Coturnix japonica: one gene and its partners. Each later gene encodes a partner of the first gene's protein in a complex. Links are inferred from orthologs where the notes say so. Each region holds a gene or a part of one and is shown in the gene's direction. Other genes may lie near its edges. The genes, in order: AKAP17A, C17H9orf78 and PPP1R8.

The links.
Region 2: AKAP17A (region 1) and C17H9orf78 share a complex: the UniProt entries of both Homo sapiens proteins name them as parts of the spliceosome. The link is inferred for Coturnix japonica from reciprocal best matches to the Homo sapiens genes AKAP17A and C9orf78.
Region 3: AKAP17A (region 1) and PPP1R8 share a complex: the UniProt entries of both Homo sapiens proteins name them as parts of the spliceosome. The link is inferred for Coturnix japonica from reciprocal best matches to the Homo sapiens genes AKAP17A and PPP1R8.

Annotation. Positions count from the first base shown.
Region 1 is NC_029516.1:116,233,175-116,242,335, reverse strand, and holds the end of AKAP17A (A-kinase anchor protein 17A), read left to right. Parts: intron 1-624; coding exon 625-773; intron 774-1,622; coding exon 1,623-1,863; intron 1,864-2,688; coding exon 2,689-3,597; 3' UTR 3,598-4,550; downstream 4,551-9,161. UniProt on the Homo sapiens protein: Splice factor regulating alternative splice site selection for certain mRNA precursors. Mediates regulation of pre-mRNA splicing in a PKA-dependent manner.
Region 2 is NC_029532.1:4,314,257-4,325,179, reverse strand, and holds C17H9orf78 (telomere length and silencing protein 1 homolog), read left to right. Parts: upstream 1-4,960; 5' UTR 4,961-5,017; coding exon 5,018-5,097; intron 5,098-5,279; coding exon 5,280-5,339; intron 5,340-6,509; coding exon 6,510-6,561; intron 6,562-6,754; coding exon 6,755-6,825; intron 6,826-7,006; coding exon 7,007-7,084; intron 7,085-7,504; coding exon 7,505-7,702; intron 7,703-8,181; coding exon 8,182-8,318; intron 8,319-9,073; coding exon 9,074-9,172; intron 9,173-9,536; coding exon 9,537-9,628; 3' UTR 9,629-10,038; downstream 10,039-10,923. Other genes in the region: USP20 (ubiquitin carboxyl-terminal hydrolase 20), read right to left, coding at 1-30, 837-950, 1,513-1,582, 1,767-1,863, 2,434-2,547, 2,690-2,752, 3,251-3,304, 3,645-3,725; torsin-1A-like, read left to right, coding at 10,169-10,445, 10,627-10,892. UniProt on the Homo sapiens protein: Plays a role in pre-mRNA splicing by promoting usage of the upstream 3'-splice site at alternative NAGNAG splice sites; these are sites featuring alternative acceptor motifs separated by only a few nucleotides. May also modulate exon inclusion events.
Region 3 is NC_029538.1:1,335,766-1,346,530, forward strand, and holds the start of PPP1R8 (nuclear inhibitor of protein phosphatase 1), read left to right. Parts: upstream 1-4,611; 5' UTR 4,612-4,673; coding exon 4,674-4,738; intron 4,739-8,128; coding exon 8,129-8,189; intron 8,190-9,294; exon of another isoform or gene 9,295-9,460; intron 9,461-10,574; coding exon 10,575-10,728; intron 10,729-10,765. Other genes in the region: STX12 (syntaxin-12), read left to right, coding at 70-113, 1,583-1,654, 1,977-2,082, 2,570-2,642, 2,803-2,885, 3,396-3,488. UniProt on the Homo sapiens protein: Inhibitor subunit of the major nuclear protein phosphatase-1 (PP-1). It has RNA-binding activity but does not cleave RNA and may target PP-1 to RNA-associated substrates. May also be involved in pre-mRNA splicing.

The DNA of each region.
Region 1 (9,161 bases):
GTGCTCTTGGGTGCAGCTGGACATGGCCAACTGTGTCCATGCATCCTGGAAGATTTGTGTTTCCCCAGGTCACTCCATTCAGATGTATGCAGCATCATTCTGTTGTGTTTCCAGTGTTAAATCTGTAGCTTTAAGCAACAGCCTAGTATATCTCGATTTGGGAATCTTTGGGCTAGGATAGATGAGCAGGCACTTGCTTAAACCAGATACTAAATGTTTTAGGACTGTTTATTTTCTCCTGAAGAATTTAAGGATTGCAGTGTTGCTCAGAAAGAGAAGCCTTTATTAAGGCCTATTTCTACCCAGAGCTGTGGCACACGAGTTGAAATTTGAATTTCCTATTCTGGAAAGCATTGGACAGCCAGGGCCTAAACCAGTTTACAGCTGGCTGTCAAAACCCAGTTGTTCTGACACCTAGGAAGTGATGTTAAGAAACATTTCCCTGCCATCTTCTTATGGTTCTCATTAGTTTTGAAAAACACTTTGTTTCTGGCTGTACTTACAGTGTCTTTTACATACATTTGTTCTGAGTCAGAAGTTGGCTGTTGGTGGTTTCTTTTGGGTGTTTTTTCCTCACTGTTTACTTACATCTGTTTCATCTGTTTTAAATTGTATTCTGTAAAGGTTTCTTTTGACTCAACAAAACACCTCAGTGATGCATCAATTAAGAAGCGTCAGCTTGAAAGGCAGAAGCTTCAAGAGCTTGAAAAGCAGAGAGAAGAACAAAAACGCCGGGAGAAGGAAGCTGAGGAAAAGCAAAGAGAGGAAGAAAGGTTAGTTATTGCTTATGGCTCTTAGTTATATTCTTAATAGTAAAATATGGCTAAACTGCAATTACTCATTCCTGTTTGCATCAATAGAAGACAGCTACATACTTAGGAGTTTACTTACTCCTGCAGCTGAGGCAAAGCTCTTAAAACTGAATGAGAATATTGCAGTCCTTTCTAGGTAGTAAGGTTCAGGGATCATGGGACCTGGAGATGAAGAAGCATAGTTTGAACTGCTGTTTTTCTGCATGTATGTAATTCTAAGGTCATGAAACTTACATGTTTCTTTTACTGGTAAGTAACAGATATTGCAAAGTTTGTTTACTCTTAGCATTGGTATTTTTCTAGGAAAGAATGAGATAAAAGCATATTTTAAGAAAATGGATGTAAATCCAGATGTCATGCGGCAGCTATTCAGAATATAAATGTTAATGCAGCATTTTTTCCCCCAGATTTCATGATGTCCATTTGTTTTGATAGGTATCATTTCTCACTGCTTAACTTTTAGATAGTTAACAGTTTCTACAAGTGTGATGTAAACCATCTTATTAAAGCAGAGCTGTTAATTTACTCAGTAAGGGTATTTAGATTGTCACATAGACTTATGTTTGGTTCAACATACTAAAACTGCATAATAGTTTCTTGTAACCATATTTTATGATTGAATACCAGCATATTTTTAAATACTGAAGGGCTGAAAAATGCACTGTTCTTTATTTCAGTTTTTCAGTAATCAACAAATGTGTACAAAGTACAAAATATATATATATATAATTTATTTATTATATTTTATATACAGCCAGAGTCTAAAATTGCACCTGCCCTAGACAAAATAAAAATCTAATCTCGTTTTAGGAAGCAGAGAGAACTTGAAGAATATGAGAGAGAGAGAAAGAGAGAAGAAAAATTACGCAAGAGAGAACAGAAGCAGAAAGATCGTGAATTTCGACGAAACAAAAAGCAGCTTGAGAAACTTCAAGCTGAAGAACAGAAGAAACTTCAAGAGAAGATAAAGTTAGAAGAAAGGAAGCTCCTGTTGGCTCAGAGAAATCTTCAGTCCATCAGGCTAATTGCAGAACTGCTAAGCAGGGCAAAGGTAGCTATCATTTATTACAGAAGCTGATGAGAAACCCAGCAGAACAACTGACATAGGTGGGGGTGGGGACTGCTGCTCCTTATGGAGTGGTACCAAACCTGTTGTTTAGTTCAAAAATGCAATAAGTGCAGTGAACCTTGTTTCTCCTTTGGTAAAACATGTACGTATAATAAATGAAAAAGCTAACTTGAATCTGTAGTCCTTCCAAGACTAATTGGCAGTCCTGCTCTCAAGGCCAATAAAAGAATGTAAGCATGATAAAGTTAATTAAATAGAGGCAAAGATACAAGACTCCTTATTTCTCATTTGAGTTGTGGTACTCTTTCCATTCTTTCCTTCTGCAGTTCTGCTATTTCCAGTTTCAGAGAAAGGGGTTTCATTATTTGATGTTTAAAAGGCATGTTGAATGATTTATCTTTAGAAAAAGTACTGTAGATTAAAGTTTTGAATGTTAGATTCTGTCTGTAAGGGTGAAGGTTTTATTTTTTCACTAGCATTTGATTAAGATTTGGATAAAGTTTTGTTTAGGTTTTATGTAATACACTTGAATGCACTTTATTTTGCAGCAGTGAAAAGCGGTGTGTCAAAGCACACTTCTGTTCTTTGGTGCTGGTCTATCTCAGTAGTGTTTTTGAATTAGAGCTCATACAGGGCTAAATGGTCAATTGTATGCTAGGAGAAAAGAGGAATATTTCTTGCAGGCTTTGTGGCGGTGAAGCAGAATGATAAAATAGGAGTTTTATTTTCTGTTTAAAATGTCAAGGAAGCACGAACAGATCTATAAATATTTTCTTTACTCTTCCTTTACCTTTGATTGTCTTTCAGACAGTGAAGCTTTTGGAACAAGAACAAAATGAAGAAAAAATCCGTCTTCAGGAACTTGAGGAGAAGCGAAAGCTTCAGGAGGCTGAGCTCAGACGTGTGGAAGAAGAAAAAGAAAGAGCACTGGGGTTGCAAAGAAAAGAAAAAGAACTGAGGGAGAAACTACTGAATAATCTTCTTAGCAAGAAAATGGATGCAGTTCATCAAAGCAAAGAAGAAACGGAAGCATCTCAGTCTGGCACTGTGAAAACTGCTAGTGATGTTCCACACACTGTGTCATCCAGCTGCATCACTTCTACCTCAGGACAGGCTGTTACAGGCAAACTGGCGTCAGACTCTCAAAGAGAACTACCATCCCCTGAGAATGTAAATGCTCAATGCAAATATTTGAATGGCAATATTCATGACAGAGTTGATGTCAAAGAAGGTCAGAAATTTCCTACCACAGACTCAGAGAGGTGTTCAGAGAAAAGAAGTTCAGGTGTACTGTCATGTGTTCCTACCAATAACCAGCAGCAGAATACCTGCAGGAAGGACTCGCGCTGTGAGCAAGGCAAACATAGCACAGAGCCAAGGAGAAGAAAGAGCCGTTCATGTAGCAGCATAAACACTGATGAGAGTAAGGGTAAACGAGACAGAAGCAGGCACAGAAGAGATGTGAGTTACCAGGATGAAAGAAGGAGGAGGGAAAGGAGGTATTATAGACACTCTAGCAGAAGTTACAGTCCTCGACGAAGTCATAGTCCTCGTCGAAGAAGTGTAAGCCCCAGACGTTCACATTATAGAAGAACTCGCAGTAGTGAACGTAAACGAGACAGAAGAGAAAAGAGTCATAGTCGCAGAAGCTCAAGCAGAAAACAAAGGTATCGGAGGAGATCACTGAGTAAGCAAAGGAGTACTTGGAGTGGGTAGTGAAGGCCCTGACTGTTTGAAAATGCTGTGGTTGGACACAAGGGCCAGAAAGTTGTAAATGAGACCTCACTCGAGTGACTGCTTTAAGAAAACACTTTTGATTCAACCAATGCATCCAGTCCTTAAAGTAGATGCCTGAATTTTATTATTTTTTTGAAGTTCTGTTGTGCTTTGTTGTCTGTTTCTAGCATTCTACCACAGTGTAGGTGTACTGCTTGTATTTGAAATCCTACTGTGCTAAAAGCCAACCTGCTTCCTCAGTTTTTGGTTTTCTAAATTGTAATTTCAGCTGATTTACTTTTTCTTGGTTTGAGAAGTACATATGTGCCAGTTACAGGACATCCAGTCGTGACATGCTTTGCCACACAGATTAATCTAAAATGCTTTGTGTACTTAATGAAATCATGTTTAACAAAGTAGAAATTTTGCTGATTGAGACTGGTAACAATTTGATTCTTAAAACTCACTATAAAGATATGCAGGCAATCTTTTAAACTGCTGTGATTCCTTCATACATCTGTATCGTGCCAGGCTTTGTTGACCAAATTATTCTGGTATGTAATGCCCTTTGTGTAGTAATACTTTCCACGTAAGCAAGGCACACTGGTGTAGGAAGTAAGAATCAGTGGTAAAAAGGTTGAAAAGTTGTTCTGTTGCCTTGTTGACATACTTGGCTTCTAATTACTTTGGGTGGTTTAGAGCCACTTGAAGTATATTTTCAGGTACGTACAGAGCTAGCCATTGTCTTTTGAAAAAGGGGCCTTCTTGCTAAATTATTTTTACTTGTGGTGTTGGAAAGTAAGGCTGCAGCATCTCTTGTTAAATGCATTTAAGAATACATTTGCTTCTAAAATGGAGCTCAGGAATATTAAAAGCTATAACATTACAGTGAAAGAGTTTATTTTGCCTTTTTATGGTAAAATTAAAGAGAAAACTGTTTCCAGTGAACTGAAGTTGCTGTTTTCATGTGTCAGTATGTTAATATCTGCAGAATTGTTGTATGAAAATCATTTTGTTCCAAAAAAAAATGAATAATGAGGCTTAGCTGCTTGACTTGCAAGTCCTGTGATGTACAGCTGCATCCACTGTTAACTCAGCAGGATGTTTGCTCTTCGGGTGCAGTTTTCCCCACACTGATGTGGGGAGTGCCTCTTTGTTTCTCTCCTTGAATCCACAGATTGATTTATCTAAGTCATCTCAATGCCACCAGTCTCCTGAATTCAGAGCGGCTGCTTTTGTTGATGAGTTAATTTTCTACAGTCTTTGCTGAAGTGTTAGAAGTCTACCTGAAGATAAACTTACGATTTGTAATAGTTTGGCTGAAACCCAGTATAATGTTCATTGCAAGTTTTAATGGAACGCCTGTTTGTAGATTTCTGTGATTCTCTTTAGCCTGCTATCAAATAACTGACATGCTATCCATGATAACATATTTGAGGTAAGGAGAAAAAAACAACTGTGGTTCCATCTGTAGTCCTGTAAGAAGCTGACCTAAGGCTGTCAGTACCAATGTCTCTGAGCTCAGGGTTTAGGGTTCTTACTAGCTTAGTATTTCCACAATATATCCTGTGGATTTCCACTGGGATTTATGTCAGGGTCTTGACAATTAATATATGTAATTGGGGAAATGCTAGTTGTAGTGCTACCTTCAGGAGGTCTTCAGACTGTTAATGCACTGTTATTGCCAAATATGAAAGCAATTGAGGCAGTGGCAGTCATCAAGAAGTGCTCGTATTAGGAAAATCCAAGAAATACTTTTTATTGATAGAAAAGAAGGCCGTGCTGGATAGGTGGTTTGGCATTTTTCACTCTAAAGAAGGCACCAAGAACAGGCTTGATATCCCATCCTGAAGTGATTAAATTATGTAAGTTCCCCTGACATCCCGTGCAGTGTCTGAGGTCAGAGAACATAAGCAGGGGCTGAGGGAGGGAAGAGGAAGGATAGTTCATGTGTTAGGCCATTGTTTAGCCTGACACACCATAGTGAGCACAGTCTTCATACAACATTCAAAAAGTACAGTAACATAAGGTACTCAGTTTATTGAAAGCCTAAAAGTACTTTGTAGCTACTTGTAAATCCTTACCTTCTGAAATGTCACGCAGGAATATGAAGGTAGCCTTCTTTCAGCCAGCCAGCTTGGCCCAATCTCAGCCTCTTTAAACTGGTGCTTAAAGTTGCCCAATAAATGCTCAGTGAGGATTTCATCTAGTTCTAACACTTTGTGATATTGTTTCAGTTGCATGTTTTGCTTCAAAGCTCTCCAAAGTCTTTTCGGTGCAGAATCCACTGAAATGAATATTGCATCCTATTTCATTGTAATGTGGGTCTGGCTGGGGTGGCGTTAGCATCATTCATAGCCATGAGCAGTTCAGTGGTGCTTGGTTGTTGTTACTCAGTTACGTATTGAGATGCACAGTGACATGAACTCCAGGACAAAAACAAAAATAATGCCATCCTATAGTACCTGGGACTGCAAGAAAATTTTTTGTCAGCTGAATGAGTGACATGGTACAGTGGTACTTCTTTATAGACCAACTTCTATGTCTACTCAATCTGTTCTTTCTGTTGGTAACCCAGGACTCGGCATGTTCTAGTCTGTTTCACTGTATGTGGGCTTGATAGTGATGCCTATAGCTAAATGCTTTCATACTGCTAGTAACCAACAGCACCCACAAGCTGGTCAGTTTAAAACCTGCTTGGATATTTTTCTACAGCTCAAGGCAATGTGATAAGTGTGGATGTACTGTGGAACTGTAGTGGGTGCCACCATGTTTTTGTTGTTGGTTCCCAAATTCAGCATTGATGATGTCTTTGAACTGCAAAGAAACTTGTCGAGACTGTAATCTTTTGATACGATCACAGCTATAAATTATGCTCTACTCTGCCCAACACCATTCATTAAAATCTTTTTCTTATGGCTGGGGTATGTGCTTGTAATACTTCAAAAACCTCGGTGATGCGATAACACGAAGAACATTATTTTTGATAGTAATCGCTTGTTCTCTATTGATTGTATGTCATTATTATCTCTACCAAGTGTATTCTAGACATCTTTATGTTTCAAACAAAAGAATCTGGAATACTGGCAGGCTTTATAATGGCTTCTAGAAGCTTAAATATTACAATCACTGATATTTTATCCTCTTCTGGAAGAATATTGTGATGCTGGTTTCTTAAAGCTCATCTGACTGCACATGTTTGCAAGACTGACTTTGAGGAGCTGATAAAATTAGTTTGTCTTTGCCTTCCTTAACATTTACTAAGAGTTAGCAACTAATGATTATCAAAGACACTCAAAGTACTTCTGAAGTACTGAAGTTGATATAGTTGAATATTGGACAGATACTGACTAATGCTTAAGGCTACTCTGCTAACTTTACTCTCAGGCATTTAGCTGCTAGAAATCCAACTGTGAGAATTTCTGCAAAGAATTATGTACTAGTGGTTATCTGACTCGTACTCTTTGCGTTGACTTGCCATGAGATATGCGTTACATTTGTTGCATTGCATCAAAGTTATTTATGTATTATTCCATTTGTTAGTGCCCTTATTGGTTAATTTATTTCCCTTGTGAAGTGACCAGGAATAGAGATTTATATCAGCATTTTTATCAGAAACGTGACTGGAAGAGCAGCTTATTCAACAGGAATTATTTCCTACACACAGGAACCGTCTAAGCCCTTCAGTCTCTTGTTACATCTCTATTCAGTGACATAAAATAAAGGGATATGAGTGATTAGGTTGTACTAATAAAAAACTTCATATGCCATGTAAAAATAACATCTTGAAAACTGTTAAGAGTAAATGTTAATTTTAACAGTGGCTTCTAAGATAGCGAACAGGATTGTGAAGTTGATGACTGATCAGTGCAGTCTGGACATCACAGCAGATGTCAGCTCTAGGGCAGTTTTGAACGCATTCAGGATCACGTAAGAGACTTGAAGGTGCTCATGTTTAATAACAGGGGTACAGGTATTAGGTACGGCAGCAATTAAATTACCTAGTTTGGTCTGTGCCTTAATTTATAAATGGGTAAGGAAAATCAACAGCTGTTATCTTGTATTGTTATGCAGGTTAAATCTTTTTTTAATTACCATTAAAATATATGTATTGCCTGTGTCTGGTATGCTGCCTTTGAGGTTTGGTTATAAGCTGGATGCAACAGCCATTTCATTAAGCTTATGTTGTATTATATTGATGTGGTCCTTCTCCAGCCTAATGAACATGTTACTTGCAGAATCTCTCTCGCAGCATCACAATAAATTTACTGAGCTAGAGTTTGTATAAAGCTGCAAACCAGTTGCAGTTCTTCCTTCAGTATGGCGTATGCTGAAGCTATCCCATTGCTATCTCATGTTCCCATGTGTATTATTTTACTGGTATCAAAAGGAACTGTACCAGTATTTTTCTGTTGTACATAATCTGTTGCCAGCTAAAGAAAAAAGTGTGATGCTGTCCTGGCTTGTTAGCCAAGACAAAAAAGCACCAGCTATTATCTTAATGAACTTCCAGGCCAACAGACACCTGCTAATAAGCTCAGTACATTCAGAGGCTTAATAATGTTAGTGAGAACAGTTGTTTCCATACTGGTGTTACGGAAGCATGTTGGTGTGGTAATGTCCCTGAGATCTGTCCTTACTGCTCATAAAGGAAATTGCAAGCATGAAAATGCTTTCAGCTTCATTTCTCAGCAGCAGGCATATTAATTTCACTTGGAATCTGCTTTATTCATTAATATTTAAATGCTATACAAAAATGGTGTTTTGTTTTTGTCCTATTTGTCTGTAGTACAAAGATAAATTTACCATCAGAACAGAAGCCTGGAGATAAAGTATTCACTTTAGCCTGTGTGTGTGATCTAAGCACTATGACAAAAAAACCTTGATGGGGTTTTCAGAGGCAGAAAGCCACTGCAAGTTCATGTTCATGAATGCATTTTTAGCTTAAGAGGAGCTTAGGCTTTAAGTCCCAATAGCAATTTACTTGGAAACAGCAACACACTGTTTGTGGCTCTACATCAATCTGATGTGAGTTATCCGTAACCTTCCTCCCCTATATCTCGCTGCTGGTAGTAATCCCATTAGATGATTACATCTGGTGTCCTCAACAGATGGATTTAGACAATATACTCCAGGTAGTTTAATCGCCTGTGTGGTTGTTTTTATAACCAGAGACTCTTGTAGCTACAGCTTTGCCTTAACTGGAGTGGATCTATGTCCCGTTACCAGGTTCTATCACTTGTGCACACAAGCACCTTGTTATTTAGTTAAAACTATGGGAATTGAGATGTTTTAAGGCTTTTCTTTTCCTGTACTTGCAGGCTGTGTTGTCCAGGATGGTGAGCTCTATGTGTTTGTACAGAAACTCTAAACTGGCCTGTTTCTACCTCTTCTGAGGATCAAAGGAAAAGCACTAAAAATTTTGTGTTGGGACAGTGGTGTAAGAACACCTTTTCAAAGATTCACTGAGATAAAGTACACAAAGTGTTGAGCTGCATTGTATTGCTCAGGTTTTGCCTGCTAACCTTACTGCTGAAGCATGGAAAAAGCAACAACTAGAAAAG
Region 2 (10,923 bases), on another chromosome or scaffold:
GACAGGCTGCTTGGAACGACATAACTCGGCCTGTTTAGGTATGGAGGAAAAAACAACAAAAGTTAATTTGCTTATCAGGCCTGGAGCCTGTGTAATAAGGAACAGAACAGGGTGTGGTAACTGGTTAAGGAGGACCCAAGATAATTATGCACCTGCAAAGCCTGAACTTAATTTATACATCACCGAGCTGATAGAGAAACCAAGAGAGAGAAAACTTCTCACAGTCATTTCACTCTCTCCTTCCAGAGAGAACCTTCCCTAGAGCATGCTTTAACTTGAAGCTCTGTCCACACCTGGAACTGTCTCAAGTGATTCTCCCCAGAGCAGGGTTTGGCAGTGGGTTACGTGGTTTGATTTTGCAGCAGCATGTTTGACAGGTGGGCTGGTGAGGGACCAACCAGTACTGAAGCAAGTCAAAACCAATATGAAATTGATGTAATAGTGCTTCAGCCTGCTGCATAAACACACAGAGCTGCTCTGCATCTTGCTTATCCCTTATTAGTGACTAACACAAAGCAAACACACGTTGCCACTCAGATTCCTGGCTTGATTTTTTCCCCAATTTATCTGTTCTCTGCAACTAATATCTTTAAATTTCAATAGAGCTGAGCTATTTTACATTGTGTTACACCAGTCTATAGTTTGAACCAATAGAAAACATTTCTCAACAAGTCACTTGTGTTTTTCATCTTCTGGTATAAGCTCAGTGTCAGATCTCTATCACAGATAAGGGAATGCATCTATCCCTGAAGGCACCATTTCTTTTTGCTGATAACATATTTCAGAACTAATGTAAATACAAAATCTATACACGTGAGAATAGTGTGACAACTCACCGTTTCTTATGCCAAACCTCAGACACCAACTTCTGGTAACTTTTGCATAGTGCTGGTTTTTTATCCGTACGGACCAGGCCACCACATTCCAGGAAAAACTGTGTGAGAGGTGGGCTGCAAGACAACAACAAGGATTCAGAGCACAGAAATTGCTCCTCTGCCTCTATTGAAAGACTGATCAAAGCTTAAATGCATCCCTTTTTGAAAGCATGCTTGTTTTTAAGTCAAGGGGAGAAGCGATTCTAGATGCAGACTTGATTTCTGCCTAGAAATGAACAAAGAAGGCTGATCTGAATCAATTCCCAGCACAGAGATCCTGAAACCAGCTGTCAGCAGAATGGCTAATGAAGATCTTACAGTGTGAGTTGTTAGAACGATACCACTGTGGAAAACAGAAAGATTGCATGTTTTCTCACATGGCAAACATGCTTCTGTCATGGTGGAGTTTTACTTCCAGCATTCATCTAGAGACAAGTCTCACACACAGCCACAGAGTTGGCTATTCACCCATTTTCCTACTGCAGAACTTCTGTTTTCCTAAATACTACATTGTTCATATTCCTTTTTCTGCAGCTAGCCTGGCTGGTTTATCCTTGCACGACTAAGGAAGGTGTCAGATCAGAGGTGCTACTGCTGATACGTAGTAAAAGACTCTACTAAAGGCCCTAATGCCTACCAGTTAGAGAGAGCCTGAAGTGCTGCATTCATGTAGCAGGAGTTCCCAAGATTTTTCATTCCAGTAAGGCCTAAAGCACAAACAAGAGAAGCATGAAACACTTTCCAGAAGTGCTGCTTTCTACATTCGTTCCCAATGGGAAGATAATGTGACCCTTTCTGGGCTCTGCACTCTGCTGCTAGGACCCTCTCAGTGCAGGTCCTACAGATTGCAGAGTCACCCTCACAGCTCTTCCATCAACTACATGCAGTTACCTCTTGGTTTCAAGTCATCGTCCTCTGATTCGGATTCACCTTCATCAGCCACTGCAATTGGAACAGCTTTCAGAGGGTGAGCAGGCAATGGAGAATCCTAGATTAAAGACAGAAAATAACCATCAGCAAGAGTCCTCCTTCAAAAGACGAGCTGCGAGAAGTATCTTAGGTGTAAACTCAGCCAGCCTTTAAAATGGCACACTCAGAAGAACCAGTTGTACTGCCTACCCTTCTCAGTAATGCATATAGAGAATGGAAATGGCACCACTACTGCTTCCAGTGTTAATAATGGAAGAGGCACTGGGAACATGCAGTGTCACAAGTAGACACGTTTGAAGTCTGACAGCTGATTTTTTATTTGAAATGAAGATATCACAGCTGTTGTGGCTCCTACCAGAACCAGATGGCCCATATAAGAAGCCAGGAGAGGTTAAAGAAAAACATCAAAATGGATATTCGAGTCGTTGGAAGCCTTCCTGCATGGAGAGTCTATAAAGCAAAGCTATTGGTCCTCTGACCACAGGCAGCCACCTTCAGTTGGAAGAGTTCCTACCACAATAGCAGCCTGAGCAACTTCTTAGCTAATTTTGCAACAAGGAAATAAAAAGCCTGCCAAGCATTGAGCCCTGCCAGGCTGACACACACCCACTGCTTCACTCAACTTTACCGAGGGTGACTGCGTGTGCGCCGCCAGCCGCTGGTCCAGGAACACCTCCTTCTCACAGGCATAACACCAGACCCGAAACGTGGTCAGATTCACTGTCAGGTTGTGCTTTTTGGCCTAGAAATAAAAAGGTGAAGTAATGATTTGAATGGTGGGACAACTTGAAGTGCAGAACGACTAAATTCAGGCATAAGAGGATTAGGTAACAGGAATAACTCAGCTCTCTCTGTCTTTAGATGGACCATAATGAAAAGCTTACCTGTGCATGAAGGGTGCTATGGTCAGAAAAGGACTCCCCGCAGCCAACATAAGGACACCCGATCTAGTGAGAGAAAGCAAAACTACAATGGCACACCAAATGAAACCCTTCACAAAACAGTCTGCAGCCCCAACCCCACCTACAGCTGCAGCTTCAGAACTGATCTTGCCACTCAACTGTTTTTCTTTGCAGGGCTTAGAATAAGGCAGATGACTGGAATTGGTTAATTTAACAGAGAAAACCTGAAATCAGTTTGCACCCACGTAAGTCCTCATTCCAAGACAACTGCTCCAACAGGTTCATCTGACCAGACTAAATGTCCAGGCACTCCAATGTCAAATCAAACTGCCCCTGCCCACCCACACACCCTCTGTCACTCCATTCTGCCCCAAACACCATCTTCAGAGCTCTCACTCTTGCAGCTTCCCCTTGCAGCGGATATTTCTATTGTGTTCACCCATATTTGCATCCATCCCTTCTTGTTTGGTCCAATACAGTTCTTTGTATACACTGAACAGAAATCCCACCGTGTCATGCACACGAACATCAAGCTGTTCTTACCTGAAGACAAGCCCAGAGGTTTGGTCCCACAGCTCCACATGACTGGCAAGTTCCCTGTGTATTCACAATGATAAAAAAATAAGCTTTGTTTGCATGTCTGTCTTTTAAGTAACCCCATCCTTCAGCAGTGAGAAACTTCTCAATGCGACAGGCCTCCCCCGCCTGCAGCTCAATGCACTGCTTAAATCCATGCTTCCAATGCCACGCTTTGCAGTGTGTGTTAGATAAGTGGCGTGTTTGAGCAGGATAAAACGTCAGTGCGAAATGCACCAGATGGGACTGACAAAGGCTTATTGATGGGCCACGTGCAAGGTACAACAAGGGTGGAAAAAAGAGTTTCTGCCTCTTCTGTACAGCAAATAGAGAAGGGGTTGGTAACCAGAACACCCCGTACCTTGGATTTGAGCAGCAGATCATCTCTGGTCACCTCTCCTATGGAATCCAGGTGAGGGCAGATGTCTCTCGTATCCCCCATTGTCACTGCAGGAAGGTGATTTCCTAGGACAAGAAAAGGCAGTTCTGTTTGGTTACAGTCAGCAGCCCACCATACTGGTGTCTATGGGCATTAAAACCATGACTGCTGTTTAAATGAAGCTCCACAAGAGGGAACTGGGCTTAGAAGACCTTTAACTGATAACCCACCTTCAGTGTTTCAGGAACTGCTCATTCAATAGGTGGATTTTGAACAACTCTCAATGAATGCATGGAGCTGTTCTGCGCCGCTCACACAGCCCAGCACTGAAAGCACAGAGGATTTCACAGCTGTGTGCTTACAAACCCCACAGATAGTCTTATAACAGGGTCTGTGCAGCCATCCTGGACTGAAGGAACAAAGCAGACCTGGAAGAAGGGATCACATCCCTGCACTGCAAACACAGCAGTGACTGCAGGCAGCACCTGGGATGAGCTGCTTAACAGCACTGAGAAAGCTCAGGAGCTGCACAGAGAAGGGAAAGGCTGCCACGTAACAGGGATTTAGAAGACAAGCAATAAGAGCACAGTGACTGACGCATAAAAGTGGGACACTTTCAGGCTCTGTGAGTGCATCAGAATAGAGTCTTTTTCTCCAAACACATCAGCACAACCAGCTCTAAATCCCACCTATCAGTGCCACGTCTGCTCTTCCATCTCTCTCCATTTCCTCACCCAGAAAAATCAAATAAACCCTTGTTTTTAAACGAAATCGGGGACCTCTTCAGCTCCCCCCACCTGAGCCTGTATTAGATCCCACGGCATTAGATCACACAGCCCCGTTCCCAGCCCAACACCGCGATGCTGCCGGTCCCTCCCGGCCTTTTCCTTTGCGAAATAAACCGAAAAACGTCACTTTCAGCTCCCAGCAACAACGGGGCTCATTCAAGAATCGTTCAGCTCATTCCTCACCGCCTGCAGCCCGCGGGGCTCCCAAGCATCGCTCATCAAACCCGGCGTTACACAACGAATCCCCCGTTACTCGGTGGGGCCTACGGGCAGCACGGAGCCGGACAAGCCGTGACCAGCGTTTTTACCGGGGATAACCCACCCCAGGCTGAACGTTCCCCCCCGTCCCATTCTCACCTGCTGGGCCCGACCCTGCGGTGTGTAGGGCTGGATGGGAGGCGGTGCTGGGGCCCAACGGAGCCGCAGGCACCGGGTAGAACCGGGGCGGGGCGGGGCGGCCCACAGCGCCCGGTGCGGCCTGCCAGGCTGCGGTACGGCGTCGGAACGGAGAATAGACGTCATCATATGGCGTCGTAAGAAGAGAGAGAGGAGGGAGGGGGGTGAAAAATGGCTGCCAGGGCGTTCAGACGGCGGAGGGAGGAGAGCGAGGAGGATGAGGAGGATGAGCAGCTGGCTGAGGAGGTCAGGTGAGCGCAGGGGATGGGGGCTGTGTGCCTCCCTCAGCTGAGGGAAACGCAGGAGCCATGTGGTTCAGGTATTGATGTGCAAAACCAGCGTAGATTTGGTGTTTAACTGCAGGAATTAAAGTGAATTAAAGCAAATAGAGGCACTGAGTACTGAGGGCAGCGGTTTGGGTTTCTTTCTGCAGGTTAAAGCTCGAGGAAGCCAAAGAAGTGCAGAGCCTGAGGAAGAGACCCAATGGGGTGAGGTAAGGGCTGTGAAGGTTCTATCTGGTATTGTCATGTAATAGCACCCATCTGCTTTATGGAGAAGTAGCTCCATGTTCTCCCTGTGCCAAAGGGAGTAGAGGAGTTTGTGTCTAAGCCTGAAGATGGTGTGAATGGTGAGTTTGTCCAGGTGTGGAGCCCTCAGTACAAGAAAGACATGGAGATTTTGGAAAGGGTCCAGAGGAGGGACAGGAAGATGATCAGGGGGCTGGAGCACCTCCCCTATGAGGACAGGCTGAGGGAGTTGGGTTTGTTCAGCCTGGAGAAGAGAAGGTTGCGGGGTGACCTCATTGCAGCCTTTCAGTACCTGAAGGGAACTTACTCCCAGGAGGGGAGTAAACTCTTGGAAAGGGCTGACAATAGCAGGACAAGGGGAAATGGTTTTAAGTTAAAAGAGGGAAGATTTAGGTTGGATGTTAGGGGGAAGTTCTTTACTAGGAGAGTGGTTCGGCCCTGGAACAGGCTGCCCAGGGAGGTTGTGGATGCCCCGTCCTTGGAGGTGTTCAAGACCAGGTTGGACGGGGCCCTGGGCAACCTGATCTAGTAAAGGTGTATGTTTGGTGGCCCTGCCAGGCAGGGGGGTTGGAACTACATGATCCTTGAGGTCCCTTCCAACCCGGGTCATTCTGTGATTCTGTGAGTGCAGGAAAACATTGGTGTGAATGGTGAGTCAGGTGCAGGAAAGCACTGCCAGCCTGCAGAGTCTGTGCTGTATCCTAACTATGGAAAAATAGACTAAGATTGGAATTGGTCATGGGATGTATTTAGTTAGATTGCTTCTGTTCGGTTCACGTAGCAGAGCAGTAGGTTTATCGGGGGCCCTTTTATATCTTCTCTCTGATTTCCTTCTCTTTCATATAGCATCACTGATCAGCTGATGCAGTAGTTGAAATGGGCGCCAACAACCAGCTTTGTTCCTTTGCTGATTCACTGTAAAGCACTAAAATCTCTCTGCCTGAACTTCTCATCTTCCCAAGACGTTGATAGTTCGTCTACCCATAGGGAAGGACAAGGAAAAATGGCAGCTTAGTATTAATACAAGTGTTTGAGACCTGCTGCTTGATCTAGGGAAGGATAAAGAAAGACAGCATTGTTGGTAACACGTTTCCTTCTATTTCCTTCCTTTTGTCTCTTTCTTTATGGCTAACCAGTGCTGTAGCTCTGCTTGTGGGAGAGAAGTTGCAAGAAGAAGCGACACTTGTGGTAAGTGCTTGATACTTTTGTCACTTTATTGCTAAGATGTAATGATGTGTAAACGTTGGTGTGATCCAATTGATGGCTGTAGGATTCTGCTTCTCGCAGCCTAATGCTTTTTGTCCGTTTTTATCCAGATTTGGAAGACTAGCCTTAAACTAAAGGGAAGCTTCAGGGTTTTGTATTTTATCTTGCATTACAGGATGACCCATTTAAGATAAAATCTGGGGGGATGGTGGACATGAAGAAACTGAAAGAACGAGGCAAGGACAGGTGGGTGCTTATGAGCTCTGAAGGTCTTTCCCTGGACTAGAAGTCCCAGCTAGCAATAAATTAACCAAAAATTGTACTGCTTTGAAGAATGTAATATATTGCACTTCCACTGGCTGCTGCTACCTTAGCTTGTCAAATTAGTTCAACAAAAAACAACTGCAACGGTGTGGTTTTCATTTAGGATTAATGAAGAGGAAGATCTGAACTTGGGAACTTCCTTCTCAGCTGAAACCAACAGACGGGATGAGGATGCTGACATGTGAGTTGAGCTGCGTGTTGTCTGTGATGCTGAACTCTGGGCTGGGTGTCCTCTCAGTTTATCTGTATTATTTTGGATACTGAATGTCTCAGAACAACTTCTTGATTCTCACCTGCTTTTTCACCTTCTGGCTGCTAGACTTGAGAAGGCATTTTCATGCACAGAGTTGGGAGATGCCAGTCAACCAGCCAGTACAATGGTATTAAATTCCAGCAGCAGCCTTCCTTGATGGGTTATGGAAGAGCTTGGGAGACCTTGATCAGAGCTGCAGATATCTTGTTTTATGTTCTTGATGTTAGCTGACTGCTTTTGGATTCATTTCTCTCTCTCAGCCTTTGGGAGAGCAGTGCAGCTGTGTTCAGCAATTAGGTACAGAAAACAGAACTAAATACCACATCTCCCTCGTGGATCGTTCTTTAGGATGAAATACATTGAGACAGAGCTGAAGAAGAGAAAAGGAATTGTGGAGAATGAAGAACAGAAGGTGAAGCTGAAGAACGCTGAGGACTCTCTGTATGAGCTGCCGGAGAACATCCGTGTCTCCTCTGCCAAGAAGACTGAGGAGATGCTGTCCAACCAGATGCTGAGTGGCATCCCTGAAGTGGACCTGGGAATTGAGTACGTTGTTCACAGATCTGTTAGTTAAGGCCTGAATTACAGGGATGAGCATCGTGATTGGAAGCTGCTGATCAGCAGAGCACTGGTGTGGCTGCATTCTACAACCCCCCTTCTGGCTCTGTGATGGGATTAAGTCTTCGTCTGGATTAGTGGGGTGTTTAGCACTGCATGTTAAATTAAACACAGCAGTAGGTTTCCAGCGCAGTATGATAACGTGACCTCTGGGAAGAGGCACTTCCATTTTTGTTACTGCAGTCAGCAGCTCTCTGGAGTTTATCAGTGTATGTTGTGCACTGAAATAGGATGTGTGCTTCACTTTTACCTTGTAAACAAACCATCTAAGCATCGGATTTCTATAGCACTGCAGCCTCTTAACCAAAATTAGACCAAATACAATACGAGCACTGTTAATGCATGCAAATCCATTTGTTTTGAACGACTTGTTACTTACCTGCTACTGTTCTTTGTTTTTCTTCCAGTGCAAAAATAAAGAACATAATCTCAACTGAAGAGGCCAAGGCCAAACTGCTGGCAGAGCAACAGAACAAGAAGAAAGACAGCGAAACTTCCTTTGTTCCCACAAACATGGCTGTTAACTATGTCCAGCACAACAGATGTAAGTCTCATGTGGTTGTCCTGACCCCAGTATGACCCACCCCTCTGCTAGAGAAAAGCAGTCAGTTGAGATGGAGTTTGTGCAGGAGAAATTAGTCCATGTATCAACACAAGCAGCTGTCTGGTTTCTTTCTCTGGGATGTGCATTTAGGCCCCATCTGGTTTGCCTGTTCTTTTGGTTTTTTTCCCCCAATCCATCAGCATAGAAAAGGACTTATTACTTTTGACCCAACTTTCTGCTCTTGAACTCCCAGTTGACAGTTCCTCATAAATTTCAAGCTTTCTTTTTCTTTAAGTTATGCCTTGAACGTGTGTTGGAAGTATCTGCCTCGTCTGTGGTTATAAATGATGGGTTATAATTGAGAGAATCCATTTTGCAGGCTGCCAAAGCAGACAGGTGGTCAAGCAAACATAGATCTTAGTAGACAGGAGATAGGAATTAATTTCCGGGAGAGCCTCCCATACCACAACCATCTGGAGGAAAGGCAGCCTGTTACCATGTCTGACCGCACCTACAGGGGTGATCTGGTGTCAGGTTTGTGTGTTCTGAAGGAAATTAAGCATTTTTGGGTGACTTCTGATGAAATAGTGCCTCTGAAACATGGTGTATCCTATCCATAGAAAGCAATTACTGGAACACTTGTCGTGAGGTTCTGTGGTTTCTCCTGAAGATCAGTCATAGTAAGTGCCATAGAAGAACATCTGTGTGAAGAATGCAACTCTGAAATACTCTACCTGATGTTTTCCTTCCTTCAGTTTATCACGAGGAGCTCAACGCGCCGGTGAGAAGGAATAAAGAAGAGCCAAAGCCCCGTCCACTGAGAGTGGGGGATACAGAAAGGCCAGAACCTGAGCGTAAGTTCCTGATCTGAAGTGTCTTAAGGGAAGGTACTGGAATGTGTTGGGGTCTCATACAGAGATGTAGCTCTTTTGTTGTGCAAGGTCCCATAGGAAACCAGCTGGATGCAGGATTGTTTAGTGATACCTCTAGATGGAGCAGCAAAGGTCACCACCAGAATGCATTAACCAAGCTGATTGATAGGGGTGTGCTGAAAGCTGGGATGGCAAGGGAAGCGAGGTTAGGGAGCACTGAAGGACAGCCTTTCATAGAGCAAGGGACGGCAGTTGTGTGGCTTTACAGGAGTTCATAAGGTTCAAGTTTAGGTAATGTCATCAGGGAAAGGACTGGAAATGTGCTGATCCTCTGTTCCTTCTCAAGGTTCTCCTCCAAATCGCAAACGTCCACCCAATGAAAAAGCAACTGATGATTATCACTATGAGAAGTTCAAGAAGATGAACCGGCGCTACTGATAAACGTGGGCTGAGGGCTCTGCAGAGCTGCTTGTTCTCCCCATCTCTCATGGTGGATCTTGTGTCAGTGCCCAGGAATGGAGGAGCTTTCCTTGTGCTCTTGTCGATCTGTTTGTGAACTCTGGCTGGTAAAATCTTGTATATAACTTTTATTTTCCATCATAAAGCTTATTTTATCATAACGTCAGCTTTCACGGCGAGACTTTTTGTAGTGGGAAGATGAAATTGACTTTACAGATCCTCTGTATGGAGGAAAAACAAGTCAAATCTCCTTTAAAAGCAGGAGGAGCCCTTCAGGAGTGGGAAGGGGCAGAGATCAGTGTTAGCAGGGAGGAGGTTGGAGGGGGGTGATGTGAAGGAGCCTGAAAGCAAGAGATGGGGCTTAATAAAAGTCTTTTAAGGCACTGTAATGGATGTGTTCTTAATGGAGTTGTGGACAGCCCACATCACTCGTTTGATCCCTTTTTCGACTGGATGTCTATCACCCTATGGCTCCGCCCAACATGGCCGCGCCCAGCCCCGCCTCTGCCCAGCTTCAAGATGGCGGCGGCGGAAGTTATACATCAGGCCGGAAGCGGCGGACCGGAAGCGGCCGTGCCGGCCATGAAGGTGCAGCAGGGATGGCGGCGGGCTGTGCCGGGGCTTGTGCTGCTGCTGCTCCTCGCGCCGCCATCACGGGCCGTGGAGCCCATCAGCCTGGGGCTGGCCATCGCCGGGGCCGCCGCATCGGCCCTTACCGGCATCATCTCCTACCCCAGGCTCTACTGCTACTTCAGGGAGTGCTGCCTCCAGCGCCATGAGCTGCGCGTCGCCAACGGTGCGGGCTGGGATGGGATGGGGGCTGGGATGGGGCTGAGATGGGGCTGGGATGGGGGCTGAGATGGGGGTTGAGATGGGGGATGAGATGGAGCTGAGATGGGGGCTGGGATGGGGGATGAGATGGGGTTGAGATGGCGCTGATGTTCTGCTCGCTGTTAACGGTCCCATGTGCTCTACAGCCCTACAGGAGAGCCTGGACAGAAGGCTGTTCGGGCAGCACCTGGTCAGCAAGGTGGTGGTCAGGGCCGTGCGGGGCTTCCTCAGCAACAGCCAGGCCAAGAAGCCGCTGGCTCTGTCCCTGCACGGCTGGACGGGCACAGGGAAGAACTTTGTCAGCAAGATCATCGCTGAGAGCATCTATAAGAGGGGGCTGAAGAGTAACTATGTGCATCAGTTTGTGGCTACGCTGCATTTCCCTCACGCTCACAGCATCAACCTCTACAAGGTAAAGGTGGCAGGAGGGCAGCGGTGCTGCT
Region 3 (10,765 bases), on another chromosome or scaffold:
TTCCTGTTGATTTTGCTTGTTGGTAGTTCTGCTGATCTGAAATATTAACACCTCATTTATCTATTCCAGGCTGATGAGCGGTTCAGAGAAGAACAGCTTGTTTCATTTGATAGGTAAAGAATTGCATTCTTGCATTCTCGGGGCACACTCTTAACCTATGTGTAATTAAAATTGTTATAGATATATTGTATCTTGGACAACTCTTTTATAGCTGAATGAAAAACAGAAGGATGCTATGCAGCTATTACAGTGCTAATACACAGCATTTAGGAAAAGAAATGCATGACAGTATTTGACCCTGTTGAAATGTAGGCTGTCCCACTGGGAATAGTTCAGTCTCTGTTATATGATAATTGGCCCTCCTGGTGTTCTGGACTGTGAGCACAAGATTACCAGACGTATTTTCTGTCACATAACTCTTTCCACAAGAAAAACTCTTTACTTCTTTTATGAGTTTGGGTGTTATCTATGAGCCCAGATGGAGCCATTGTAAAGCAGTGGATGAGGCTGCTCTAAACTTGGAAGAAATAACAAATTGATACCAGAACATGCGTAGTCTACATCGATATAAAATATCAGACATATATATAGATTCTGCGGTAACTTTGTGCCTGCATAGCAGATGAGTTTGCAGAATGTTGCATCAGCTCTACAGTGTGAGTCAAGTGAACTCAAGACACTGCAGAAGCATTTGTGATTACTGTGTCAGTTTCCACTATGCATGCCTGAGAAATAGAGGATGAAGTATGTAGGCCTTATCTGTATAAACCTTGCAATGTTCTAACTCGAGGCACCTATCTGAAATGTCTCATCCATCCTCTCCTGATCAGTTGTTTGGTGTGTGTCCCCCTTTGTTAGTCCTGAGGTTCCACGTGCTGAGTCAGAAGTGAAAGCCCTATTTTGTTCAGTCATAAAGATGCTGTGATGAGTTTGAAGTCTTGCTCACTATTGCATGGGGTGCCACATAAATACCTGTTCATGCAGAGGCCCTCATCTCAGTGAGATGCAGTATCGTGCAGCAACTACTTTGCATTTAAAATTGTTCTTATGTGCTGCACATCAGAAACTTGTGCCCTAAACACCTGAAGATTCTCCTGTCAACTCAGCTGAATTCCTGAATGTCTCTGCTGTATCCCATCTAGTCAAGTAGTTTATTGTCATTTCTTTTTGCACTTGGAGCCTTTGGAACTTACTACGTAGAGTTATGTCACAACGTGCCTGTTGGGTATATTACAGTGCTTTCAGATACGTTTGCCTCCGAGAAGAAGAGGGAGATATTACCCTAGAAGAACTCTTTTGTGCTGGACACATAGATGACTTTGTACTATTGGTACTGCCTTCACTGTAATCAGTGTGTGTAACTTACGTGGCAGTTATGAAGTACTGTCATCAGGGTAGGTGTGCAGAGATTTTTCTAAACATCTCTCTTGATGTGTGACTTTAATTTGTAGTTCTTGCTAAATTAATGAATTAACATACTAAACCCTTTCTTCGTATCCCCAAATGGCAGATAGCAAGTGAGAATCTTAGAGCCAGGATGCTTGTCAGGTGTTCTTTTGATCTGATAATGTTGTGCTTGCAGGCTGCTCTCCATCAAGACTTTCACCCTGGTTGATTCCCCCCTTTTTGTGGGGGATGGTGAGAGGAAAGGAAGGTACAGATATTCTTAAAAAACAAACTTAAAAAAAAAAAAAACCAACCTGAAATGAGGTCTGTTCTATAATGCTATAGGTAATGGTCACATCCTAGCACAAACTATCCTATGCATGTACTGCTTTTCAGTTTCCTCACTTCTCTTGGTCTGTCCCCATTATTGTTCTCATTTGTAATTGTTGCCATAAGCCTGTAGTTGCAAGACTGGTGTTCTGTAGGAATCTTTTCAGCTTTAACATGCTGGTGATTCAGTGTAATTATAGTGAGAAAATATGCCTGTGCTGAAAGAAACAGTGTTTTACTATCCTTCCTTCCCTTCACAGTGGTGAAGACTGGAACCAAATGCAGTCTCAAGAAGAAGATGTGGCGATAACTGAACAGGATCTTGAACTTATTAAAGAAAGAGAAACGGCAATCAGGCAATTAGAGGTGAAGAGTAGATCCTGCGCTTATGTTAACATATAGTTAACAATATTAGGGTAGAAACCAAAGAATTCATGCAGTGCTATCTAATGGGATGGGCTGAGGAGACCTGAAGGTGAAGGAACAGTTCCTTGTAGAGAGGATTGATTCCAAGATAAATCTCCCTGCTCCAGTTTAAGGAGACTAGGTATATTTTCCTTCAGTGTTCACTGGTGGTCCTTCAGAGATGGTAGGAGTAACTCGTGACAGTGTTCATCTCAATTCCCTGCTCTGTTAGTTGCTAGTGGCATGGAAAAAATAATGAGCAGTGGGAATATTGCAAGCTCTTATGTTAATCCCAAGTTCCATCAATAGCAACATCAAGTCACCTGAGTCAGTGAGTGATGGCATCTATTCAGTTATTTCTAGTGGTGTGTTCTGAAGAGGCACTAAGAATTAGGCTGCAAAAGAACTGTAACCAGTGTTTTGTATAACTTGTCAAACTTGTCTTCAGGCCGACATTTTGGATGTCAATCAGATATTTAAGGATTTAGCCATGATGATTCATGACCAAGGAGATATGATTGGTAAGTGTGTTTGGATAAGGAGCTTCTTTTCTAGTTCAGCTGCACTTTCTTTCTGTGTAGTTCAATTTTTCTGATATTTTGTACAAAAAATGTTGTATTTATTTTATTTTAAGCACCAGAAGTCTGAATTGTTTTACAAGTTCTCTGTTTTTTTCCACAGATAGCATAGAGGCAAATGTGGAAAGTGCAGAAGTTCATGTGGAAAGAGCCAGTGAGCAGTTACAGAGAGCTGCCTATTATCAGGTAAATTATGTATGCTTGTATTATTGTAAATGTACAATCAAGTACAGTAACTGTATGCTACATCATTTAAGCTGTAGAAATGCAGTACTATCTCTGCATCAAACTACAGGAGGGATTGTTTTCATTTGTTTTACCTGGAAAATCCAGATAGTTGGAGAGGTTTAGCTTTCCTTTGCAGCCTTGGTGGCAGACCTTTGCATGAAATGTATATTAGGTGGTGTCGGCTTCCCTATTTGTAGTTATCTTGAAGTAAAGCCTTGAATTTGCCTTAAAATGTAACAAATTCTGCTAGCTTTGACTTAATTGGATTTCTTAGACCTAAAACTAAACCTTCAGTTGTGGCATATGCTGTTTAAAGACCTTGTGAAATTGCGTACTTGGTACTTCCCTTGAATAATGACAGGTATTGAGTGCTCTGGTTCACCATACTTAGCAACACAAGCTGCCAAACTTGCTTTTTCTTCCTCATCTGCTCATGGTATCAGTGGCTTTTTCTTCTTCTTTCTTTAGAAGAAATCCCGTAAGAAGATCTGCATCCTGATTCTTGGTCTTGCTGTGGCTTCTATACTCGTAGGATTAATTATCTGGTGGGCAAGAGGGTGAAATCTTCACATGGATTCTTGTCTCATTGCTGAGAATATTTTCCCCCAGCACGAAAAGGCAGACTAGTTTTGGAAATGAAACCACCCTGAGAGAGCACAAGCTGGAACTACTTCTAGTAATAGTTATTAGCAACTAATGTGCAGACAACTAGTATTTGGAATTAGTGAACCATGGAGACAGTATTTATCAGTTTATATACAAATTATATTGTTTTATGTAACTAACATCTCGTGGTTTTGCTTTCTGTAATGTATTATTCCCTGTCCCGACTGTATGCTGAAGTGTGATCGATAATTGGAGATGTCTTGTTTCACTTGACAAGTGGCAGACATTGAACTTTTTATATGTACAGATAACTTTGTTGGACTGGAATAAGAACGACATTCAAAGAGGGCACAACACTAACTTTCATTACCTTAATCCAGCAGTTTCTCAAGTCTCTGGTATCTGCCCCATGGTTTTATTAGTCTCTGGGTGGCTGTGGTTCTAAATTTGATTGAAAAGATGCCACTGCAGATCTGAAAAGCAAGAAGTATGCATGGGTGATAGATGGAACAAGTGTGCTCAGGAACCGGTCACTTTAGCCTTGAGACTCATTGCTTTTATTAATTTTTGTGCATGGTTGGGGTTGTTTTGGTTTATTTTAATGCACCGGTTGAGTACTGTAAGTCCTGTAAGTCTAAGGACACCCAATCTAGCAGTGCAATGTCATTGAAGAAATGAGCTGATGGTTTATCATTGGATGAATAAATCTCTTCCATTTTTGGTTCTCAAAGCACTAAAACACAAAGCTGAGCTCCCCACTTTGTAGCCCTGAACTGACACGCACTGAGGGATCAGCAGTCTGTCCGGTATCGTGTGGTAAATGCATCATACTGACCCATTTTGTATCTAACCCTTTATTCCACGTCTCCTGCGTAATAAAATACATGTGAAAGCTGGGAAGGGGGAGGGGTGTTCTCCCAATAAATTGCACATTGGTTTGCACTACTTACGCCATCATTCCATCTAATAACTATCAATAAACACTTTTAAAGGCCTTTGTCGGAGCTTCTTTATTTTGCAAGATTAAACAGCGATAGAATCAGGTTCCTCTAAGCCCCGCTCTGTGGAGAAGCTCGTTCCCGCCCCTCTCGGCGCGGAGCACGCCGGGACCGCCCCCCGCCTGAATGGGGCAGATGCAAGATGGCGGCCAACGCGAACTCGGCCGGAGGAGGAGGCGGCCTCTCGCTCTTCGAGTGTCCCAGCTGGTGAGCGGGCCGCGGCCGCACGGCTCTGCGCTGCTGCGGGGCTCGCAGAGGGACGAGAGCGGCTGCCCGGCCGGGTCGGGCCGAGCCGGGGGAGTGGCGCTGGGGCGGGACGAAGCGCGGGGCTGCGGCGCCTCACGGCCGGGGGGATGGAGCCTGGCCGAGCCTGAGCGGGCCGAGGGGAGCGGGGCAGCGTTGGGTCGGGGGTGTGGGCCGGAGGGAGCCCGGCTCGGCGCTGCGGGGCCCAATGGGGGCGGCTCGGGCCGGAGTGGTGCTGTGTGAGGCCGAGATGTGGCGGTGCTGCGCCTCGACCGAGTAGCGCTGGGGCGGCGGGCGCGGCTGTGTGGGGATGGAGGTAGAGCGGGGAGCCGGAGCGATATGGTGTGATGGGATGTGATGGGATGATGTGATGTGATGGAGGGGATGGGACTTGGGGTTGGCTCAGCCGGTGTTCTGCACAGCGCCGTGTCCGCAGCTGGGCTGGAGTGCGGCCTCCCCCGCTGCCCCGCCGGGCCCTGCTCGGGATGGATGGGAGCAGCGGATCATGGCACAGCCGAGCTGAAAGGCGATGGATGGTGAGAGCACTCCGCTCTAATTGCACAGTCATCCGGCTGCAGGTCCGGGCTGTTAGTGCTGGGTGGCAGGACTCAATGAGTACTCAATGTGCATGGCCAACGTGCTTTTCAGTTTTCGTTTGTAAACCCATCTAAACCTTAAATCCAAGTAGTGTCTGAGCTGGGTATAGGCAGTATCAAGCATTTCTGTGAGACAAGATGGTGACGTGCAGAACAGCAATATGATTTAGATCAAAGCAGCAAACAGAACCACAGCATGGTTGGGTTGGAAGGGACTACCCAGATCATCCAGTTCCGAGCCCTCTGCCATGGCAGGGCTGCCCCATGTCCATCTATGGCCCCAAGAACCTCCAGGGATGGGGCACCTGCAGCGTGGAACAACTTGACTTACATTTGGTGATAAATGTGAATGACTTCTGCCACTGAAAGCTGTAGATGGAACAGCTGGGAGATGTATGGCTTACTCAGTGCTCAGTTTCAGTTGCTTGAATGCTGTTGCAGAACAGTTCCTAAAGAAATAGCGTATGGAGAGGAGGGCTGTGCCTGTGAATGGCCTTTTCATCTCTCTTGCTTTCTGGCTCTGCTGCAGGCAGGGCAGGGGCTCACAGCCAGGCAGCTTTCTGCACCGTGCTGCTGCTGACCTGACCCAGGTTTGAAGCACAATCCATTGCATTGGGATCCGCTCCAAGCCGGGGTTTTCACACCCAGCAGTAAGAGGTCACCTCGGGAGAGTGGGGCCCTGTTTCTGCCTAACAATTCCAATCTTTTTTGCTTTCTTTCCCCTTTTATCTGAATGATCTTTTACTATAACTTCCTGAAGTACTTCACAAGTAAACCAGAGTTTACTAGTGTAAAATATAGTCCGGATATTCACTAAGTGATGAGTTCTGTAGAGTGGTTCTGTAGAGTGGAACTGGCTCACAGTGACAGAGCTGGACCAGTCTGAGGCTCTGAATTCCAGAGAATCTCAGTGTGTTTATAACCCAAACTTTGGTTTGGACAGCCGGGAGGATCTTAGCAGGGAAAGCTGTGGGTGTTCAGAATCCATCATGTTTTGGGGAGTCTTCATGGTGAGTAGCAGCTTCTTCTGCAGGGAGTGCCTTCCAATCTCATTAACTTGTATTGGAACCAAAGCCACAGTCTTTACTTACCTGTTGGTTTCATTTCTGTCTCCACATGGAGCTGCTGTAAGGGCTACAAACACCTATATAAGAAATATATCTTAACCATAACTGCCCAGTATTGTAGGTTTTTTTCTTGTCTTTAAACTGTTGCTCATGCTTTTGAGCTCTGTTGCTGTATCTGTTCTTCCTTAACATGGATAATATTGTAGTAGAAAAGAAGTTCAAGGGTTTCAATGGCTTAAAGTCCGGGCTTTGGTTTAGTTCTCATGCTGGTATGGGTTACATATCCTGACAGTGATTTTACACAGGTCTCTGGTGAGCTCTAGAGCTCTGGAAATTGTGCCTTGTCCTTGAAGTTCAGCATGAGGATGTGCATAGCAGTCACCTACACTGAGATGTTAGGAAGTGGCTTAATTAGTCTTCTGAGCCCACAATTAAAAACCTAAATAATTGACCTGATTTTAAACGAACACAGTGGGACTGGATTTGGCCTGTCTGTGTCCTGAGCAGCTAAAGCTCCGGATTTCTCTATGGGCTGGATAGGGTTTGCTTCAGTGAGGCTTTCCATTTCAGATGGTTTCTGCATCCATAACCCTGCTGTTCTATCAAAACCCAGTTCGGATGTTGCTTTAGTTTGATGATGTCCCTCTGAAATACATCATTGCTAATCATTACTAAGCAGTTTTCAATTGGAATTGCTATGGGAAGGCCTGGATTTCTCCATGTCCAACTGCTGGGCTGTATTTTGAGGGAATGAATTGAATTGAGGAGCAGATGCCATAGGACCTTTAGTTCTCTCTAATGGGGTATTTATGGCCCTTCTTTCAGAGGCTCTATATGCAGTTCTGTACGCAGTATGGAGACCTTATTCCTAAGCAGGTAACCAAGGGAACCTGAGTGAAGCAGTGCAGTCTGTGTGGAACTGTGCATTGTAACAAGGCAACAAACAGTATTAAGGTGAAGTTCTACAATTGCTTTAATCCAAATGGAATGCTTTGTTCAGTTAAAGCAGCCACGGTTCTCAGAAGTCATCCAGAAAATAGAGCTCGTGGGGACCTGCTGTGGAGGGCAATTAAGAACGTGCTGATTTGAAGGGTTTTCCCAAAGGAATGAAGCTGCTTCATAGGATAAGGTCCCCTTCCCATTGAATGCTGTCATTTCTTCCATGCTATCTGTGTTGGTAGCCAGTGTTTTTGTATTACTCAGCTTGGAACCCTTCAGATGTTTTTGACCATCATCAGTTCTAGGGGAGGGGGGGGAGGATGGTAGAAGATCCTGTTCCTCTCAACAGCTCAGAGACTGGCTGTTCTTAAGGTAATGTGACAACAGAGCCCTGGGGAGGCCCTTACACTGACAGGTCCAGTCTGTCCCCTTCTCTCCTTGTGGGCTTCCTGTTGGGAGCTGCTCTATTTGGTTTGTGAAGTCGCTGTCTTATGGTTGGAGCAATGAAGCTTGAAATGCCCTGCGTTCTGTTAGCTCAACTCATTGTAAACATCTGTGGTTTATGTGTAGGCAGAAGGAACCTGCGTGGAGCAAAAGGACAATTTTTGGCTGTTTAATCTTTGTTTTCCCCAAATAAATTTACTTACATTTGTGTTGCATCGATCTGTAGATCTAATAGAGTATTAGCTCTGCTATTAATGAACTTCTCACTAAATACTTTCATACTAGACTTAATTTTCTTTGTTTTCCAGGGCAGGAAAACCTCCACCTGGCTTACATTTGGATGTAGTCAAAGGAGACAAACTCATTGAGGTATGAGAGCAGATTGTGTGTGTGCTGAGTGTATCACAGATAAAGACACCGGTGGTAGAAAATCACATGGCACTTTCCACACCTACTCAGAAGTATTTTATAAATTGATTAAGATACCAGAATATGCTTTGCAAAGGAAAAATAAACAGAGAATTTACTAATAAGCTTATATTTTCCCAGGCCAGAAGCCAGTAAAATGAGGCTTTATGGGGACAGTCCATAACTTGTTGATTTTATAGATTGTTCTAAGAGATTGCTCTTAGTTAGTCCACATTTGAAAGCACAGGTAGCTGGCAGTGCCAGCATTGACCTGTGTGAGATCTTTGCTCAGCCTTAATTTGAAAGGAACTAGGTACCAACATGTGTAATCACATCTTCACTGTACTTCATTGCATCATGTAATGTGTAGGTGAGTTGGCTCTACCAGCTACTTGGACTATCCTTCAGTGCATCTATCCTTCACTGGCTCTCCCTAGCCCACAATAGCTTTCAATCCCATTGCATTTTTTTTGTCTTCAAACCATGATCCGTGTCTTTTTTTCAGTATTGTTGCATGTTAGGAACTGCTTTAGAAGTTTCAGAGGTCAGAGCTGAATTAGGACTGCTTGCCAGCTCAGCCATCCCACTGCCATCCTATCAATAGCATCTGTGGTAAGGACTGTACGTGGCATCAGGCTTTCCAGTATTTCTTTCAGGCCATGTAAAGAGATGGTGAGCAAAGCCAGCTGGCAGTGCCTTTGTCGTTTTTCTGGGTCTCTGGCAGGTGGCCTCACTGCAGCCCTCCCACCTGGGAGAATTATTCTACTTATTCTACAAGACAAGGTTTTTCTTGTCATATTTCTTTTGGATTTTTGAGAATGGAAGAGCCTATATGGAGCTCGCTGCTAAATTAATCCACAGTGGCTATCAAGGGAGATCTGATCCAGACTGCAGGCAGGAGAGTGCACTGCAGAAGCTGAGAATGCACCATGGCTTTAGACAATACACAAACAAAATCAGTATTGTTAAACTGTCATGTAGAAATATCATCCTGGTCCTGTCAGATTCCAAGGATGGATGGTAAGGATGTGTAGCCTGGAGGTCCTGCTTGCTGCAGTGGCTCCTTGAGCACTTGATACTAACCGAGCCATCTGTATCCCAGGTCTCTTCCAGAGGTCTGAGGAATACTTTGTGATTGCTGGGTCTGAAAAGTGCAACATGAAAACAAGCCCTGCAGTGTTTAAGCTCAGTGTGTAAAGGATGACACTGGGTTATAGCTCAGAGGCACAGAAAATCTTAGAGACATTACAGTGAAGTAAAGGCAAGACTTTCAATCTTCACAATCTTCACAAAACCTCTTGAAACGCCATTTAATGAGTGTGAATGAAAACCTATTGGACCTTTGTTTTGGAGTAGATTTTGGACAAGAATGAGATCGATTTTTGTGGTCCTTGAAGTCATAAAACAGCTAAATGCTGAAATATGGAGTAAGAAACAAGCTTTTAAAGATCCATTTATTTGTATGCCAGTTTTCTTTAGGTAACTTGTTTGAATATGCATAAATAGAATTTAAGGCTCACCTGTCTCACAAACTGAAACCACAGATTTCATGGGTACGGAGGTATTGAATTTGGGAAGAGCACTCAGTGCTGTACTGAATGGGGGCAATACTGTGTACTGCTTGTCATAGAGCTGCTGGTGTGAAGTTGGATCCCCACAAAGCCCAGCTCACCTTTCTCAAAAGGTGCCTTATAACAAATGCTATTCGCAGTTCAGTAGCTGGGTGAAACAACTATAATATTAAGGGGCAATAAATGTGGCAAGGGAGAACATTGGAATGCTAAGTGTTGATTAGGGATTGCAGAGGAAAAGGGGTGGTCTTGTGAAAACCAGTATTTGCAAAGAGACAGTGATAATGAAGTACCCAGATGATACAAGAATCTGGGAGACTCTTTCAGTCTATCAGTGTATTGTTCTAGTTTGAATTATAGTGAGTCTTCAATGTATGCAGTTCTTCACCAGGCACAAGTAAGTTCAAAGGAGAGACCTGCATGCATCAGGTGTTCCAACAGGAAGAATATAACTGTTCTCATTTTATTTACACATGGACCTTGTTTGTCAACAGATGCTCTGCTTGAAGGCGAATTTCTGATTAAACAGTGGTTCTTGATGCATCAAGTGAGATGTTAGAGACAGGAGTAACTGGGCATCTCCCACATTCAGCTGTTCTGAATGGAAAAATGGAAATTTCTGTGTTAAATGGTGTCAAACACTGCTGACATATCAGTCAGTTTATGATGCTTTGTTATGCATTTACTTTGTTTATTCACATTCTTGAATTTTTACAGGAAGCTCCAAAAGATTCTAGGTGTCTAATATCCTCTTCTGTTTGTTATTCTACCTCAGAAACTCATCATTGATGAGAAGAAATACTATCTCTTTGGGAGAAATCCTGATCTGTGCGATTTTACCATTGACCACCAGTCTTGCTCTCGGGTCCATGCTGCCTTGGTCTATCACAAACATCTCAAGAGGGTTTTCCTCATAGATCTAAACAGCAGTAAGTAGCAGAGCATTTAATCCAACAGTGTTACTGT